Linked DNA regions of Nothobranchius furzeri. The main gene of each other region encodes a partner of the protein of the gene in region 2 in a complex. Links are inferred from orthologs where the notes say so. Each region holds a gene or a part of one and is shown on either strand. Other genes may lie near its edges. The genes, in order: ap1b1 and arf2b.

Region 1 (9,529 bases), on a different chromosome or scaffold from region 2:
GGAACAGGTGGGACGAGATAAGAACTAATGAGTCTGGAGCTAGCCGTGGTCTGGTTTTAAGTGATTCATAGTCACTTTTGTTTTATTTAGCATGCCACCATGCAGCTTTTTGTCTGGTTAAATAATTAAACAAATATTTCTAATAATTATAAAGACTTGTTTGCTTTATTAATGTAGAGAGACACAATTTCAACTGTTGATGTGTGTTTTGGTATTTCTAACAATGTTTTTGTTATATATAGTCAGATTAATGTGCCTTTTTTTCCTTTAGTCGCCTGAGACTGAAACAAAAACACATTGGATGACTAAAATAAAAAAAATAAATAAATAAAAATAACGAAATTAAAAGCTCCCATCAAAATGAACACAGTTCTGAGTGGTGTTGCCGTAGAGTGACATCATCAGCAGGCCAGGTCCCAGAGCAGATTAAATGTCTTCTTTTATGAAAATAAAAATATGATCACCTTAAGATTAGACGCAATAGGATTAACTTTATAAACTAAAACTTATGCAGAAATACTTAAAATGCTTGATTATATTTTCAATAAACTATAAAAAGTGAAATCATTTCTCTGAATAATTTCAATTTTCGTGGTTAAAGGTTTCTAAAAAAGTGTGTCTAACACCTAGAATACAGAAGGTAACCATCTATCACCTCAGACTCAACTAGAAGCAATGGGATACTCACAGTGTAGGTGGGGTTTCCTGCCTGCACCCTGAGCTCCGCCAGCACCCAGATGCTGTTGGTGAGTTTCATGGACTGATACAGCATGTCCTGTCCATCCACGGTCCGTTTGGCTATGGTGAAGATGTTGCTACCCTGAAGTTTGCTGGAGGCTGCGTCTGTTAACAGAACATTTATACGTTTAAACCGGCAGCTTGGTTTTATTTCAGTGCATAGAGTCCCTCTCTGATTCCTGGCAAGCTCTGTGGCCGTCTGCAGAAACAATTACTAAATGCAGCAGACCCTGAAGAATTTATTTCCCCCTTATCAGACCCGAAATTTTTTTACTGCAGGTTGTCTGAGAAACAAAGATACAGTCACTAATTTTGAATTAGTGTCTCTGCTCAGCCTCAGTCTTGCTGCTGTACCCCATGAGGATGTGAAATCCTGCATCTTTGTTCAAAGAGAAGAAATTCAATCTGTCAAGAGTAACTCTCCATTAAGCCGTAAAACTAAATTATGACACATAAATAGTGGCTGCAGCTGATGAGCACTCATCAAATGCAGTTTGCTTCATTAGCAGGGATCAGAATTGAGATCAACATGGCTCCAACTGAGCAGTTTCCAACAAAAGTGGCAGTGATGCGTTTTTGTTTTCCGCTCTTCGATCAGACTTCTTACCCGAGTTCAGATGGCAGTCTTTGATCTGAAACTGGGACTCATTGTCATTAGGAATGTCCTTCCATGTGGCGAGGAAAACTTGTCGCTCTGTTGATAAAAAGAAGCCACTGGATGAGTCAATAAAATACACATGGTCAATTCATTTTCGGTTATTTATCCCACGATGCGTTGAAAAACGCCCCAGTATAGTGCGAGTAGTGTAGTTTCTCTCCAGACAAAAGGTGTCCTGCTGTGACTTAGCCTCTGAAGCATTAGCTCACAGCTGCTGGCAGCCGTCCCGCTGCTAGCCCCATCACAAAACTCTACAGGAAGAAATGCCAGCACATTTTCATCCAACAAATCAAACCGCAACACAAAAAACTAAAAATAAAATGGCAGCAGTACAATCTGCCCTGCCACGGGAAGTGACGGAGTCCTCCAGCAGGTGGACAGCCGCGCACGCATCAATCTTTCAGAGACGACTCATTACTCCATGTCTCTGACGTCAGCGAAGCTTCAAGGCTTTTGAGTGAAGTGCTTTAGCAAAGAAACACTCACCCATCTTCCCGTCCTCCACGAACAGCACGCTGATGGGGTACTGGCAGCTGAAGTAAAATACGTCAATGTTGTTCTTCACAGCCACCTGTGGGGGGATTATATCCAGGAAGAGGGGAGGGGGCAACGGGGGGGGGGAATCAACATGACGTCAATTAATACTCAGTTTTTAAGCCCTTTGAAATGACAATTATTCTGAGTTTGTTTTAGGGTTTCACTAAAAATCAGCCACAACGTGAACAAAATCTCAGAGAAAATAGAAAGATGATCTGAAATCCATCTGCTTAAGTTACTTTTTTACTGGCAGTAAAACAAAGCTGTGAAAATCTCCAGAAGTTTATTCGAAAAGATGCTTTACAGATTCATAATCAAGTGACTTCATAATTAGATGGTCTTGTCAGACCAAATAACTTCACATTTATAAAGAAAACTGCACCGGATCTTTAATTTCAGACTTGAAAATCGTTTCCATCACAAACATGGTGAACAAAGCCAACTATAAAAAGATCAACAGCATTGTTGTCGCAGGTAAACTGTCCCGCTCCGCTGATGTGAAGTAGAGGTTGCGTCCCACTCTTGTCTATATCTCCATGGTAACTCACGCTTAACACCGACTATCTGTCATTTCCCTGCTGACGCGTCTGACTGCTGAAATCTGCCACGACTTTATTTCTGACATGAGATGTTAAACATCAGATTATGATTAAACAGATAGAAATTTAATCACCCGACCATCTGTTGGCATTTAAGCACCAGTTTTGGCTATTTTAGTCAGGGGCTCTGAACTCTTTACAACCGAGTCAACAAAAACGTTTTCATTCACTTTATTTGTTTCTTCTTCTCTTTTGTTCTAATAAATCTGAGAAGATTCCTTTAAAAATGACCTCTGGTGACCTGAGTTTTGCTTCTCTATGAGGCAAATCCTGGATCAGTAATAAACGATGAAAAACGGTCCTGCTACGTGGTTTCTGTGCCGAGGACTTCACTGATCCAGCTGCCACAGGCGTTCATCTGGCTTCATGCTTATTCAACAGGTGAAAAATAATGGATTCATTTACTCGAACAAGGCTCTGATGAGAGAATTAAATCCATCCGAGGGTTGTCTGAACGCTAGAAAGAATAAACTCAAGTAAATGATAATGACCCGCACTTGTATAGCGCCTCAGAGTAAGGACTCCAAAGCGCTTTACACTAGTGTATCATTCATCCATTCACACACACATTCACACACTGATGGTGATGAGCTACGATGTAGCCACAGCTGCCCTGGGGCGCGCTGACAGAGAGGCTGCCGAGTACGCAAACCTGCAACTTTCCGATTACTGGACAACCCGCTCAACCTGTTGAGCTACTGCTGCCCCAATAAATCAAACCTTTCGTACGGAGGAGCCCGGTCTATTTCACAGATTGTTTCTTTCAGGTATTTAAAACCAAACCAAAATGTTAATTAATTCTTCTTTTTGCTTCTAAAAGCAGAAATCTCTGTTCGGGTTTTTAAAGAAACCATTGCAGGTTGTTGAATGCAAGTTAATTACCAATTAACGTGTCTTTATTAGAGACCACCTCTCAAAGTAAGACGGGCAAGAGACTTGTTTTTACAGACTAAACATATCAAAACTCATTCATCTATAAAAAGCTTTTTCTGAAAGCATCAAAAAGAGATTCAAATAAAACACAAACAAGTGGAGGTCAGAAGAGTAGGACTTAGTAAATGATGACTGTTAGCATTAGAGCCCTGGAGGCTTCGGTACAAGACGTGAGAGCACATGTTTGTTTAAAGGAGACATCTGTAATAAGCAGCAGACAACACGGATCAGCCTGCTTTATAAAGAAGTGCAGTTCAGCCAAGGATGGGAGACGAAGGACTCATAAATAATTCATCCATGCAAGAAGCTGTAAAGCTCTCATTCACTCGTTAGGTCAATAGATTTGAAATGGTCTCCGACTTAAATGATTGCCTTGTGAGTCGATCTCTGTGGGGGAAAAAAAAGCTCTGGTGTTTCAGTTTCAGGAACTAGAAGTTAGCCGGAGGAGAAAATGGAAGGATTTATAGTCTTACTCATTATTAATCCAGATTTTTGAACATCTCATCTCTGATTGGCTAACAGCAACACTACCACTGACTTTAAAACTATGTTTTAACCAACACAAGCATGAAGGAGTTCTGCTGTGTGGTAGAGTTGCTAATGCTAACAGTTAGCTTCTACTAGCAGACACGTTCTCTGCGGTTTCCTGGATGCTAAACCAACAGCCTTCCCCGTCATGAGCCAAGGTGGGTGAGTCCATGAATGTTAATTTACAGTGTGACGTAGATCTGTCAGGATTTTCTAATCCTTGCATCCCCTCGTCCATTTTGTTCCTGCGGCTAATGCAGGTGATAGGAGTAGAAGACCATTTCCTTCTTCAGCTTGCATGTTTTCTTCGAGTGGCCAATTGTATTTAAAACCAGTAAAAAAGGGTATCTCAGTGAACCTGGGCGGCTAAAAGGTGCAGCACTGCTAACGGACATTCAGCTTTCAAGACATTAAAGCTCTGAAATAAAGCATCGCTGTGTCCTTCACTGACCAAGAGGTCCTCATACAAGTGCAAAGAATGGATACTTCATTTGGAATATTTTTCCATGTTTAAATGTCACACTCCACTAGATGCAGCCAAGTTCTCAAGTGTGTGTTTTTATTTGAATATTTTGATTGCTGAAAAAGGCCCGCACATTATATTAAAATTCAGTAGATCAAATAAATAAATAAAACAAAAACAATGACAAAATCTAGAGATAATAAACAGAAGGACTGAATAAGTAATGTAGGCTGTCTTCTGTTGCACCTGCTCCGGCTAACCCGGCTAATCCACAAGGAAATCATTAAATGGTGATTAAGCATGAAATTTTAGAGAGAAAGATCATAAATGCTAATCAGCAGCAACAGTCATGCATTTAACGAGAAAGCTGATTGTGATGCTTCAAACCAATTAAAATGATGAGGAGTTGAGATCAACTGGTTCAGTTCAGCTGGTGATGATGTGCTGATTAGTCACATTGGATGTTTAACGCACATTTATTGGGCATGTCAAGATGAATCTGAGATGAGCCAGATCCAGATGTTTTGGGTTTACATTTACGTAAGCACAGAACAATTGTGATGCATTTTATCTGCTGTGTCCTTGCAGAAGAATTAATGGCAGCTGAACAGCCAACCAAGGGCACCGAATCGTGTCCCCTAAACCTGCTGATTTGATTATCCAAGATGAAGAGCTATGAAAAAAACTGTTCTGACATTTCTTTAAACAAATATGAAAGGGCTTAATGGCTCCGTGTGATAGATAAACCTAGGAACCGGCAGAACAAATCATATTTGGGAACCTGTCAAATCAGACAGCTGGTCCCATCAAAACAGGGCCAGGAGGCAGCAGAGTAGAAAGGTTAGCAGCACCACTGAGGCCTAGTTAGACAAAGGAGCCATGTGTCGACTAATGACTGTCCTAACCTCCATCATCCCTCCTCACTCTTATCTTCTCTCCACAGCTGCAGCCGTCCACCATTCTGCCCAGTTAAAAGGAACCACCCTGACCAGAACCAAACAGACACCAGCTGTTTTTTTTTTTTTTTTTTTCAAATAACCTTTTGAAACAGTCTGTCTTTTTCATATTTAAGCACAGCATGGGTGTATAAGAGCAAAGGTGCATTACAGATTGGCAGACTTTCAGGACACTGACTCAACAGTCTCACTCTTGCGTAACAAATCTCTATCAGTCATCATTTCTCCGGTTTAGACCGACATCCGGTAATTTATCCAAGTCGCGATACTATGGAGTCAAAATTAAATTAACTGATTAAACATAAAACGTCTAAAGTGATTTGTACAAGAAGCGGCACAAGCACAGAGGGGATAATTCACCTGCAGGTTGTTGAGTGGATCCATCTTCATAACGGGTCCAACAGTATTCAGGGGAAGGGCCACCTCAATGGTCTGGTTTGGGCTCAGAGGAGTTAGAACCTGGAGAGGTCCAGCTGGAGCGATGCCAAAGCTGCAGAGAAACACAAAGTGGATAAAAGGGTCAAAAATCTGTTTTTCAAATGGTGACTAGACAGTTGGCACTTTTAGCACCCCCTAGTGCCCGTTTGTAGAACCAAAAGCAAATCTCATCTCCTTGCTGTGCGTTCAACATTTTTACACCTTAAAGGGACTTTACAGACTTTTGAATTTTTATGCTCGTGATTGCCCCCTCAGGCCAAAAGCGTAACGGCAGCTTCAATAGTAGGCTCGTGCACGAGGCGTGCATGCTGTACGTGCACACTCCTTGACAAAAATGACAGCTGAGACAGTCCTGTGTGTGTGTGTGTGGGGGGGGGGGGGGGGGGGGGGACAGGAGAACGCGCAGCTAATTAAATGGTAAAATGGTAAATGGCCTGTATTTGATATAGCGCCTTCTAGAGTCCTGGAACCCCCCAAGGCGCTTTACAACACAATCAGTCATTCACCCATTCACACACACATTCACACACTGGTGGGGATGAGCTACAATGTAGCCACAGCTGCCCTGGGGCGCACTGACAGAGGCGAGGCTGCCGAGCACTGGCGCCACCGGTCCCTCCGACCACCACCAGCAGGCAACGTGGGTTAAGTGTCTTGCCCAAGGACACAACGACAGCGACAGACTGAGCGGGTCTCGAACCTGCAACCTTCCGATTGCGAGGCGAGCACTTAACATTTATGATCTTTCTCTCTAAAATTTCATGCTTAAATAATTTGGTTCTGTACCTTTCTCTTCAGCACAGCCGACAAAGGTTTATGATGGGTCAGTCCTCCTGCATGCTCAGATCATTCCCTTCCCTTGCTTGGAAAGTTGTTCCAAAACGAAAGTTGAACCCACATCTTTTTTATCTGTGAATTCAATGCCGTTCGGCGAGTCTCAAATAAAAATTTGGGCATCTTACGGAAAAAAATATACCATTAATGTAAAAAAGAAACTCCAAATAAATTATGTTCACATCCAGAATCGGACCCAGGTCTTCTGCATGGGAGTCAGACATCTTACAAGGTGAGCTACACTCTAGTAGCATTGACACTCTCTGTAACTTTTATATCCTTGACGACACCTGAAACAACGTCAAACCAAAGAACGGTTCGAAACGAAAATGGCTATTTTGTTGCTAATTTGCAGGAAATATCTAGAAGAAAGTTCTACAGAAAGTAGCTAAGCGTCCTCAGAAATGTAGCTAGCTTTGTCACTAGGCATTAGGAACAGCGACAAAGTGGCACTACCTCACTCTCTGCTGCTAAAGCTACTGATAGCAAATGCTACGGGCGATGCCTGAGCGTGAACGCGCATGAAGCAGCCTGCTCGACCCGAGCATCTCTCTTTTTCTGTGATCTTACAGAAAAACAGGCAATCACAGTAAAAATGCCAGGGCTCATTCTACAGGACCAGGGCATTGCAGTAGAATGCATGTAGAAGAAATGTATTATTTCTATACATGTTTGGGCTGTCAAACTTCCATAATATCCCTTTAATCCAACAGCTGAAACGTCTCCCAGCCCTCATTAGTGTCTACAGGAGTGATTCATCACTAAATTAAACAAATCAGCTGTGCTCATGATCTAAAACATGCAGGAAACGTGCTGGAAGCAGACTGTAGTGCCAGATATGTCAGCTCATTTTATTCCATTTCCAAGTCCACTAGACCGGACCGACACTCCAAAGTTGCAAATGAGGTATTCTGGCCAGAGGGCTGTGGGGGTCTGAGTGACACTTCATTAAAGGGTCATTTTAGCACATTTTAGCTCAAGAAAATTATTTAAAAATATGAACAAGTTGCAAAGTATCCCTTTAAATGAAAATAGCTGTAAGATAAAAGCTCTTCCTACCTGTTTCTGTTGAACTGGATGGCAAAATCAGTCATGACGCTCATCGCTTTGTTGATCAGGGTCATCTCCATTTGGATGATTCCGGCCCGGCGGGCAAAAGTGCCGGATATTTCCAGGCCCTTTCCCTTCATGGCTGGGAGCCAAACCTAAACAGAGAGGCTGGTTTTAAAAGCCACCCATGATGAACTCCTTTAGGGAATCATTCCAGCACATGGACTCACCGTTTTGGGGGGGTTGTAGGCTCCCATGGGCATCCCAACTCCACCTCCAAGATCAAACAGGTCATCCAGGCCGCCGCTAACAGGAGCGCTGAACGAGGCTGGCGATGCGGCTGGAGCAGCACCAAAACCAGCTCCCATCTGTGGGTCACAGAGAACACGTGAAATGGTGCATTGCATTAGCGATGAAGGCCTAAGAAAACTAGAAAACGACTTACAGCAGAGCTTCCTCCAAGGTCTCCGCCAAGCTGAACACGAGGAGAAAGGAAAAGAAAAACTCATTGTGAACAAAACATCATAAATGAATAAAAGTTGATGTTAAAACTACAGGATCTTCTGAGGGGGTGGAGGAGGATGAGAGGAGGGGTGGTCTGTAACAAATAACAGTAGGGAGATGTCTGCAGACAAACCCAAGTGATTGGTTTCATTCAAATGCAGCTCGATAACTTTGTCTTTAGCGTTTTAAAGACTAAAAACAAAGATCAAACCTAAAGAGAGACGGAACACTGGAACCCTAACTAGATGGAGCAGGAAAACAAGCAGAGCAACACAAAGCTACCGAGAGGACATGGGACAGCAGAGGGACAAGTGGTGTTGAGCTCTAGGCTGATGCTGGCCTTTACTGGTCCAGCGTGCTCCTCCAGGACCAACCTCAGTGGGGCTGTAATCTGGGGACGATGAGGACTGATGTGGAACCTGAGGTGACCGAGTGTCCGAGCGCAGGGGAATGGGCAGCTGATCAGAAGATGAACGATCCAAAGACAACAGAGATGGAGTGAGACTTAACATGATAAATGTCACGACAATATGAGATGATAGTGTATGGAAACTACGGGTAAGTGAATAAAGAGCCCACGCTGTGCTGATCGTATCACACGGGCTTGTGCGAGTGCAAGACTCTACGAGAATCTGTAGGAGTTGCGTTCTCCTGGTCTTTAGAACACGTTTTTATAGGCACCACTTAACAGACGCTTTGAGTTCGTCAACGTAACGACAAGTAAGGCTGAATGATTTTGTGAAAATTCATCAGATTGATTCACTTCCACGCAATAATCACAACGTACAGTAATATTTACAAACATGACAGGAAATGCCATCACACCATCACCACATGAAAAGTTATTACTCAAATAAGCACAAAAAGCGCTGCGCTAACACCATATTTACCTCAACTCCACAAAGATAGTTTCTTGGTAATTCCCTTTCCCCTGTTGCAGGAAGCGGGCAAATGAGACTCGGCCACTAAATGAGCAACGGCGACAGATAACCACAGCTATGACCAATATATACAGTAGAAGTGCCACAGAAAAAGAAAATTACCAATTAAAAATAAATAAAACTATATCCCGCTGCAAACTCAAGCATCAGGGTCCCGTAACCTCCACAGCCGCTCGCTGCTGTTGCTGTAGCTCTTCTAAAACCTTGAGATAACCCTAGATGTGTAAAATATTTATATAAAAGGTCAGGATCAGTCACGATCGCTGCAAAAAAATTTTTTATGAAATAAATACCTGTTTTGACGATTACAAGATCACATCGTTTAAAAAAATTAATGAATCGCAGTTTCT
Region 2 (10,182 bases):
GTTAGCTGCTGGGAGTTACTTGTATTCATTGGCGTAGCAACAACAGTAGTGATGGTGATTTTATTGCCTTCTCTGTCCATCTTTGTCTCTCTCTCTCTCTCTCTGGACACAAATAAAATAAACATCTGAATGCATTCTATGATAAAATGAAAAGTTTGCTAATATTGGTTAAAGCATAATATCTTTTTTCTCTGTTAAATCTTAGCCTACTTTATTTGATATTAAGGCTTCACAATTCTGGTTAAAATGAGAATTACGCTTTTTTTGTGCTAGGAATTGAGATCTCGAGTCTCAATTTTTTTCCAAAATAAATATTTATTGCACTTATTACCTGCACATCAACTTCATAACAGCTGTCACTGAACATGAAAACAAATGTCTCTCGTCTCTTACATACATAACTTTTGAATTATTTAAACATTACAAACTTTGAACAATGTTCTCTCTGCTTGTAAGGCGATGAGAGGTAGGTGGTTTGTTTCGTAAAATGTAAACCACATTTATTAACAAAATATAACATTTAACATGACAACATAATTGTTGACCATTGCAGGACCACAACAGAACATAATCCTTTTCTTATCCAGCCAGCTGCTTAAAATCGTTATCATTTGGAAATGAAATTGCATACAAGTATGAACTGAGATCACACTTTTGTACGATATTGTGCAGTCCTATTTGACATAACAGATTTATTACTTTGGTAAATAAAATAACTTTTATATATTTTACCTTTAAGGTAAAGCAAACCCTCAGAGCGGTCAATTGCTCCCCGACTGCTGATGTGTAGACCAGTCATTCAACAGAGACATACCTAGGTGTGTCCTGCCATTTCCCGAGTGAAGATTAGAACACGCCAGTGAAGATGGAGTGAAAACGAGGATTGTTTATCCACACTAAGCTTAGCTGGCTAAATATTTTCTGTGCACTCCTGCCACTTCCACCTCATTGGAACGCATCTTCTCTGCAGCTGGAAACATCTGCTCTCAGACGAGCAAGCCTTTCTTCAGAACATGTCTAAATGCTAACTTTCCTGACTGAACAAGAGCCTTGAGTAGAAAAATAAAGACTATTTTAGCTGGATACATTTGTGAGCACAAGTCATTATGGTGTACAATTTATTTTTGGTTTTTAGGTACCTCCATCTGACTAGCATTTGTATTAACAGGTTACAAAGTTAATTAAAAGCTGTTTGATAAGCTGTCATCTTGTCTTTATTATTAGATGGCACATAACAGATCACACTTCACACGAGAAGCTAATGCCACCATTACATTGTTACTAGTAGAAATGTAATATTATATCCAATAACTTATTACTGAACATGTTACTGAAATAATTCACTTCTGCTCATCAGATGTGAATAAATTTAGATAGGTTTAGACTAGGACGAGTGATAATAAACCTCAAGTTTTAATGAAATATATAATCAGCTGGGAACAAGGGAACTAAACAAACCAATTTCGTATTGCTGATCCTTTACATTTTGTTGTTTTATTTGGATCATTTTAGCAGCAGCCTACAATCTAATTTCACTTGAAACATCAACTAAAATATTTAATGAATTGATGGACGATTCAATAGAATATTCAAATACTAAATATTCAATAGCTGCAGCCCCATAATTAACTCCGTCCTCAACTGGATGTGATTTTAAAGAGCAAGTCACCCCCAAATCCACTTCTTTTTTGCCGATAAACTATATAAATGAGTGTCTAACCATGCTGTAGACGCATGCAGTCAATAATTTGGCACTTTAGTGCATCTTAGTTCAAATTTAAATATTCTGCCTAAACTGTCATTGTTGCACAGTTGTCAGGTAAAAACTCTGCACTGCATTTAAATTTTATCTGCCATTGCTATAGTCTAAGAAGTATACTATGATGTCAGCTGGTACATTATGAGGTCACAGTGTCGTGTGTGTGTGTGTGTATTTGTTAGCGGCTTCGCCCTTTCAGTCTGCCAGGCAACAGCATTTTTCAAACAGGAAGTGGGAGTGGAGTAAGACTCTGGCAGGGGTGACTTGCTCTTTAAAAACCAAACATCTCAGGATTTTAAATGTAAACAAACCTAATCACAGACAATCTGATCTGGTGGGAGTGAACCTAAACACAGACTCTATGTAGTCCCAGTATCAGATTATCCCAGCACAGACGTGTGTTACATCACATCACGTACTAGAAAGTCTATTAAGACAAAACACATACAGCTAAACTGTTTTTATGTTGGGAGGAAAAATGAATAAAAACAGTTCTGATTATTGTAAGAAGTGTTACACAGATGCTGACGTTTCTGTCAAGCTTAGACAACATCACTTCCTGTCCTAGTTACTATGTTTGGGAAATGTTACATGGCCTGTACACTTCCTCAAAATGAGTTCAAATATTTCAACCCTCCAGTGGAAGTCTTATTGGAAGCTTGGCCTGTACAGTAGCTGGAGCTCATTAATGCAGCTTAAGTACCAGCGGCTGGCTGGCTGTGTTGACCTTCAGCTGAGAGCAAAAACAGATAAAAACACAAAGATGCATGACTCAGTCTTTTCATGGCAGCCACGTCCACAGCCTGCCTCCGATTTATTATCTTAACAAGACTGCAGCAAGCAGCAACTTTTCAACAGGTGAAATCAGAATTAGGACCAAATCTTCTGTCTACATATAAAATTATTACCGGAGCTGTAATTCAACGTTGCGATCTGTTTGAAACTCATTCTCTTAAGTGACACTTTTGACATCATCAACATATTCAACGTTACACTCAAGACAAAGAGCTCACTCACACACAGCTGACAAAATTGGAAGGAAAAACTAAGCATTTCTGCTCTACAGTGCTGTTTTCTGATCAGTGCCATCACTGGACAGGAGACCCACTTCACGCCAAGAACAGAATGAAGCTCCATGAGTCACTGGTTTGAAACTCATACACACACCAATGAAGCAACCTATGGGCAGTAATGCTCAGCAACATACAGCCAGCTGAAATATAGTACACCCTCTCACCTTGAGTGTTCTGGAAGTAGTGGCGCCACAGCGGCCTGATTTTATCCTGACCGCCCACATCCCAAACTGTGAAGCTGATGTTCTTGTATTCTACCGTTTCAACGTTAAAGCCTGCACACCAGAGAAGGAAAGATGGTGAGGCATCAACAATTTTAAAAAGTGTTCACAATTTACCAACAGTGTGTGTACAGACAAGACAGGGTTGAGGAGCTAACATTCGTCTCTGAAGGTTGAACATTAGAAAAATGACCCAAAATCTGTGCAGGTATTTTAAGACAGTTATTCTTCTGAAAAACTCTAACTCATCAGTTGGTCCACAATTATCTAAAATTATATTTGGTACAAAAATAATCCTTATAACATAAAAGCCTGAAGATAAGCAGCCTTCCAACAAGAAGAATAACCAACACTACTGACAAGAGGTTGACCAATAATGGTTTTTCTATTGCTGATACCAATGCCAGTATGTAGGAGACATGATCTGCCGACAGCTGACACGTACTGCTGATTTTTATTGGCATTTTCATGGCCTATATCCAGACATTTTCCATCTAATTTTACTGAATTTAACTAGCTGTTAAATATCAACTTTGTGCATGGTTCAGTGTTAAAGTCAGACAACTAAATAAAGTTAATTTAGAGTACATATTATGCTGATGTTATCAGCAAATGTAAAAATACATTTAAATTAAATTCTGCAACAGCACCGAGCTACCAGAGGTTGTCCATGTTGTAGTTCTTTTTAAACACAGAGTAGTTTTGTTTACCTGTTTTCCCGCTACGTTTCGTTTGCGGCTGCAAACTTCGACGCAGTTTGCAGCTGCAAACGAAACGTAGCGGGAAAACAGGAACACAAAACTACTCTGCGTTTTAAAAAGAACTACAACATGGAATTAGAAATACTACACAGCAAGAACAAAGATGTTACCAGAGGATGTGCTTGACTATAAATTGGCCTTACAAATATAAATCTATTGATGTATAAAAATGGTAAATAACAGCCCAACATAATGCTCTACCCCTACTACTGACATGAATAAATAAATCCGTACCAATGGTTGGAATGGTGGTGACTATTTCTCCAAGCTTCAGTTTATACAAGATTGTTGTTTTCCCAGCAGCATCGAGCCCAACCATCAGAATTCTCATCTCTTTTTTGCCAAACAGGCCCTTGAATAAGCTTGCAAATACATTCCCCATGGTGACAAAGCTGTAAGAAACGGAAACTGTTAAACAGGGTGACACATAGGTAGAAAAGGATGAAATGTAGTAAACTTATCTTAAATAAAATCTAATTATCCAATCCAACATTCTAAACAACACTTTAAATGTAAGGCTGTTAGTTTTTTGCAGCACCAGAAGAGGGAGCATCATTAGGAACATAAGTTTTAAGTCAAACAGAAAGACTCCAGAAGGCATTTCACAAAAGGCAATACAGCCAATATGGAAATGACAGGTACATACAGAAATGTGTTCTATAGAAGTTGGGAGACAAAGGTTAATGGTGAAACTAGGAACCGTTTTCAACTGAGTCAGGGTAAAAAGAAAAGTTGAGTTCGCGTTAAATATATTCGAGTTTTAGCTTTTGGGTAAACACTAAAATATTCAATCCATGTGTTCCTCAATTAACTTTTAAGAAAACAAAACTCTGAAAAATTAATCTTAATTCATCAGACTTGATCACCTGATCCAACCATCTCGTTCACCCGGATTAGCCTAACAGCTAACTAACCCTTGATTAGGCCTGCTCCAGATGGGAAACTCCGGTTGGGCAAAGTGTTATTGTGCGTGAAAGTAAACAGCAGCTCGACATCCAATCCAACTTAATCTAACAGAGGTTTGATGAGTGTTTAAGAGAAAAATAATAACAGAAAAATCCTGTATTACAAATTATAACGCAACGGGTAGCTTTGGATGTTAGCTTCAGCTAAGCGCTATTAGCTTCACTAAGGGCGGATGCTTCAGCTAGCCGATTGTGGACAACTATTCATCCAACAAATGTTTTAAACAACACATAGCGACACATTATGAAGAAATGTAACGCTGACATAATTGACAAGTACCAGTGGAACTGATGTTCAGCTCGTTGAAAAAAATCGCCGTAACAGATCTTAGATCACCAGTTACAGGAACTGATGTAGCGCGCTAGCTACCATTAGCTAATTGCCGCGTCACTGCTAAGCGAACACCATCACGTAATGTTAAACGCCACTCAAACCGAGTCATTTGAATATAGTAACAACCACCACGCGTTAGGCTATTTAAGGGTACAGAGATGAGCGTGTTTCTGAAGTTTGTTACCTCTAACGACACAGCTTCTCGATCTTTCCGTTACCTTTTACTGTCACTCCAAAATGGCGTCTTGCGCAACCAGGGAGACACCGGCGTTACGAGTGCTTCCCACTATCAAGTTATGGCCAATCATAGCGCCTATGGTGTAAGTGAGAGCCCGCCCCCGTCTATCGGCGAAGCAATCACAGCGGCGGAGGATCGACGTGTGAAAAGTGCACAAAATGTCGAGGAAGTGATGCGAGGCGGACAAGTTGGTCAAGTTTCTAATCAGGTTGTATGGCAGGCCTCAAGTTTCTAATCAGGTTTATGGCAGGCCAATGTAACATATAGTCAAAATATACCTGTTATACCGGTTTTTATAAATGCTAAACTTTCATCAATAATTTCACACGGTTAAGTCCAATAATCCTTTACACAGTAATAAACATATATCTAATTAAATATGTCAAAAACAAAATCAAGTAAAAAACAATGTCTCCACAACAGATACTATAAAACACCTCAAACTGACATTAGAAGACCCTAGTAAGTAGACCCTAGTAAGTAGACCCTAGTAAGTTTCTTGTAATGGAAATTCTTTGAGAAATACCGGTATGTACAATGTTTATTTCATATATGTCAAAAAATAGTCCAAATCATGTAAGTGGAAGAATGAATGATTCTTTGTTGTTCTGTTTGAGAGCCAGCAAACAACAAGCTGACATTTTCAACACAGAAAGGGTAGGTACTCTGAGCTGCTTTTGGGCACATAAGGAAACTTTCATTCTCTTGGGTAAACCTCAACATACAGGTTGACAGTCTGAGGTTCACCAGCCGCATCGGGTCTTCGCCTTTCTCCAGTGATGAAGAGAGCTCAACGCCAGGAGCTAAGGCTATTGTGTAGAAACGTGTCCATCTATATCCAGCCAGTACTGCTCAATCTCTTCCACAAGTCCCAGCTCCTTCCTTGTCATTCCATGTTCCAAACATTCAGGATCCAACTGCTAGCGCTACCACCTCGGTCTGGCCAACACAGACCCATCATGCTCCTCTTGCAGGTGGTGGGTCCACAAGTAGACAAGTCCATGACACCAGAATGCTAAGCCCAGCCATCAGGCATTCGCACGGGCCCAACACCTGGCTTGGTTTCAGGGTGGCCACAGTAATTTTCCAGGCCAAATACTGTTGAAGGATTTTCTGAGCGAGATTTGCTCTTGCCATGGGAGTCGGGAAATGAAAATCTCAGTCAAAAGGTCAGGTTCCTTCCGTTTCTCATATCTTTAAAGTGGCATGGGCAAATCTGCTAAATTATTCTCACCTCTCCTGTTGGCTTTCATCCCTAGGTCATGTTCCCTTGCTGAACACCAGTCATAGTTTCTAGGTCTAAACAGCTTTTGCTTTCCACAACTTAAAATGGCATTTTGCTTTTTATTGGGGGGGGGGGGGGGGGGGGGGGGAATGGCAGCTTCAAACTAGCTAGGGGTCTTCCTCCAGCAGCGGTAGCCACAGTTCAGAGTTCGAGAGCTTACTCTAATACGGGCTTTTATGCTTATAAATGGAGGGATTTTGAGCAATGGAGTCTGGTCAGAACCATGGTTCCTTCGTAGAGCTCTGTTGTGGATGTGCTAACGTTTCTGCAGGAGTTGCTGAACAAGGGTTTGTCCTTCTCTACTTTAAAGGTTCATCTGGGGGTGGGGGGAGCCAGGGGCTGACTGGGACGAAAATTCAACCCTGGAATATCTCCAGAACTCACAGATGGCCAGTCCACCCTGGGTAGGCCCACAACCTGGCGTAATTTGCCTTCTTCAGCCAGGCCACATGTGGCGTGACGTCCCATATACCACTCGTTCCTCTTCTTCAGGGAACAGTGGTTGCATAACTTGGAGTTCATACATGGTTAACTTCACATTACTCTAACAGACAGACCTTTAATTACAAAGTCACTCACTTCTGTACTAGTGCTTAAACATTCACAATAGGATGTTCTGACAAATAGAAAGCCTGAGACAAAAATAAGGATCTATAAAACACAAAGGCCTTTAGATAATGATTTTCTTATTGAGTAATAAATAGGGCTGCGCAGTGGAGCAGTGGTTAGAGCTGTTGCCTTGCAGCAAGAAGGTCCAGGGTTCGCTTCCCAGCCTGGGGTCTTTCTGCATGGAGTTTGCCAGGTACTCCGGCTTCCTCCCACAGTCCAAAAACATGACTGTTAGGTTGATTGGTCTGTCTAAACTGTCCCTAGGTGTGTGTGTCTCTGTGTTGCCCTGCGATGGACTGGCTCTCTGTCCAGGGTGTACCCCGCCTGATTGGCCATTGACCGCTGGAGGTAGGCACCAGTGCCCCCCCCCCCCCCCCCCCCCCCCCCCCCCCGTGACCCTGCGTGGACAAGCGGGCTCAGAAAATGGATGGAGTAATAAATAACCAGAAATACTCAAGATTTAAGGATTTTAAAAGTTTCCCATGAAATATAAATCTTAAAACACACCCGAATACACAAACATTTTAACTTTTAGTAGTGAACATGAGAAGACTTTAAAACGATGGTGGCAGAGGAGTTAAGTGACTGCCTTGCAATCAGAAGTTTGCAGGTTCAATCTGAGCTTAGTCTGCTGCTGTCGTTGTGTCCTTGGGCAAGGCACTTCACCCACATTGGCTGATGGTGGTGGTCGAAGGAACTGGTGGAGTCTGTGCTCGGCAGCATCTCCTCAGTCAGTGTGCCCCAGGGCAGCTGTGGCTACACACGCAGCTCATCACCACAAGGGTGTGAATGGGTGAATGATTGATTGTGTTGTAAAGTGATTGGGGGCATTAGGACTCTAGAAGGTGCTAAACACAGGCCATTTATCTTTTAAGGATTCTCTTTTGTAGAAGGATGGAAAATTAGCAGTTTTTAAAAAGCTAAAACGTTTTGACATTCCACAAAAGGCGATACAATATTTTGAGTTTGTATGATTTAGCCGTTTCCCTGCTCCAACACATTTGATTCAATGGTTGAATCACCTGTTCAGCAACTCATCAAGCTCTGAAGACGCCGGTTGCTCTGCTGCTGATTAAAATCAGGTGTTTTAGGCAGGAAAACAACCAAAACAAGCTGGATAGTGACCCCAGGACTCAGACTTCCAGCATATCTGTTAATGTTAGAGGTCAAAGGTCAGAATAGTTGGAATTTACTAAAAAGGCTTTAGAAACGCTAAACCAGCTCAAAATGCTGAACTAGTGTGAGCAGTTTCCCAAACAAACAACAGGTTTTGTATCCATGTTAGGACCAGAAATCCAAGGCTGTAGTTTGGAAACGTGAAGCCTGATCTGATGAGTCAGCAGATGGTTGTTCAAACAGGCGCCGCTCCAGAGCTGCTGGATGTCCTCTAATCAGAGGAATGTTTTCTCCTCAACAGCCAGCAGCTCAGTGTCTGAAACACGTCGGAGGATTTCTGCTGTTTACCTTCTCCTTCTGCAGAATTCCTTGTGGATAAACCTTAAAATCCAGCCCTACATATTGATCCTGAGAGTTGTTTGCTGTTTGTCACTGAATCTGGTCCGTTTATGTGCTTCAGGCTTTAAGAAAAACAAACTAACAAAAAAACAAAAAAAAAAAAACAATGGTTTCAAGAAGGATTTCTTCTAAAATGAGCAGCACCAGAAACCGTCTCATTCCCGGAGCTCCAGCCTGCCGTCCCGGATCCTCCACCTCCAGCGCTGACATCTATCTGGAGCAGGAACACAACGGAACCACGAACCAGACTCCTCTATCTGCTCGTCGAAGGACACCGTCTTCCTGTCCAGAGTCTCCAAACTGAAGGCTTTCCCTGACATCTGAGAGACAGGTGGGAGGATTTAGGATCAGATCAAACTGAAACGTGCCATCAGCACAGAGCAACCAACTCTGTAGGCTCAAGGGCTGATGTACTTATTAATCAAACGTTCTGAATTATCTAAAACCGAGTTTCACCAAGAGTCAAAACAGACATTCTTCAGTTAACTCATTTAAATAGAGGCAGAACAATGCAGGTTGTCAGTAAATCAGTATTTAAAGGGGCGTTTCAGATATTTCCAAGTATTTTCTAATATAACTGTCAAAAAAATAAACCACATCAAATTCCTCACAGGTCACTATAGTGACTGACCCCACCTCCATACCTGATCACTGATTCCTATGGCAACGTGACCCACTTTGACCCGGCGATGTTCTCGGATCCTCAAACAATCCCCCTGAGTGTTCTCGATCCAGATGTCAACACCTGGAAAAGGCCATGAGATGTTTATTTGATATCCTCTGTGATAGGCGGACTGAGAAGGACTCCTGGTTTTACCCTCAAAGCAGCAAGAGGACGTCTGATTGGCTGACATTAACCACTCCACACGTGTGTCCGCTTGGCTGTTGCAGGAAGAGAAGACACCAGAGCTGAGGTCATCAGAGGAATGGTCAGAGTCCTTAAAGAGGAGCAGAAATGTGACATTAGGAGGGCTGAGATCCTCACAGCCTTGTTCTCACTCCACCTGTCCTTACCGTCTCGGATTTGTTGATTTGTGAGGAGTCAGAGCAGCTCAAACAGGATGGTGGCTCATCTCGAGGCTCTGGGGACGGAGTCGGGAACATGGTGCCTACAGGTACATCTGAGGGCATGTTGTTTTCATCTTTATTACATTTATAACAAAGGCATCTTCACAATCGTCATTCACCGTCACTGACTGATTAAAGTCTACATGATGAGATTTAAGACATAAAAGCTCCTTAAACCCTTCAAGGACAGATGGATAAAACCTTTCATGTCAGTTTTGGGTTTATCGAACTAAAACCAAAACAATTATCCACCGGGTTTCTATAACTCACCTTCTCTGAGGCCTTCCAGCTCTGCCCCAGATCCCCATGAAACATCATCCATCTGCAAACCTTTCTGCAGCAAAGGGAAAACAC

What was found.
Region 1: the proteins of arf2b (region 2) and ap1b1 are in contact, whole or in part, in a cryo-EM structure (PDB 7R4H), measured with the Homo sapiens proteins. The link is inferred for Nothobranchius furzeri from reciprocal best matches to the Homo sapiens genes ARF1 and AP1B1. Residues at the interface, in NP_001019397.1 of Homo sapiens: Glu17, Met18, Tyr35, Ile46, Thr48, Ile49, Gly50, Phe51, Asn52, Val53, Glu54, Thr64, Trp66, Lys73, Leu77, Arg79, His80, Tyr81, Gln83, Asn84; in NP_001118.3 of Homo sapiens: Asn23, Asp25, Pro52, Asp53, Val55, Asn56, Met58, Gln59, Met83, Ile85, Met86, Ala87, Val88, Asn89, Thr90, Val92, Lys93, Tyr121.

Annotation. Positions count from the first base shown.
Region 1 is NC_091757.1:46,122,621-46,132,149, reverse strand, and holds part of ap1b1 (AP-1 complex subunit beta-1), read right to left. Parts: intron 8,210-9,529; coding exon 8,180-8,209; intron 8,103-8,179; coding exon 7,965-8,102; intron 7,890-7,964; coding exon 7,744-7,889; intron 5,903-7,743; coding exon 5,773-5,902; intron 1,968-5,772; coding exon 1,883-1,967; intron 1,433-1,882; coding exon 1,346-1,432; intron 844-1,345; coding exon 689-843; intron 1-688. UniProt on the Homo sapiens protein: Subunit of clathrin-associated adaptor protein complex 1 that plays a role in protein sorting in the late-Golgi/trans-Golgi network (TGN) and/or endosomes.
Region 2 is NC_091756.1:54,219,705-54,229,886, reverse strand, and holds the start of arf2b (ADP-ribosylation factor 2b), read right to left. Parts: upstream 5,461-10,182; 5' UTR 5,332-5,460; exon of another isoform or gene 5,298-5,331; intron 5,105-5,297; exon of another isoform or gene 5,060-5,104; intron 4,207-5,059; 5' UTR 4,197-4,206; coding exon 4,049-4,196; intron 3,108-4,048; coding exon 2,997-3,107; intron 1-2,996. Other genes in the region: mitogen-activated protein kinase kinase kinase 14, read right to left, coding at 8,916-9,080, 9,405-9,505, 9,578-9,698, 9,775-9,881, 10,099-10,182. UniProt on the Homo sapiens protein: Small GTPase involved in protein trafficking between different compartments. Modulates vesicle budding and uncoating within the Golgi complex. In its GTP-bound form, triggers the recruitment of coatomer proteins to the Golgi membrane.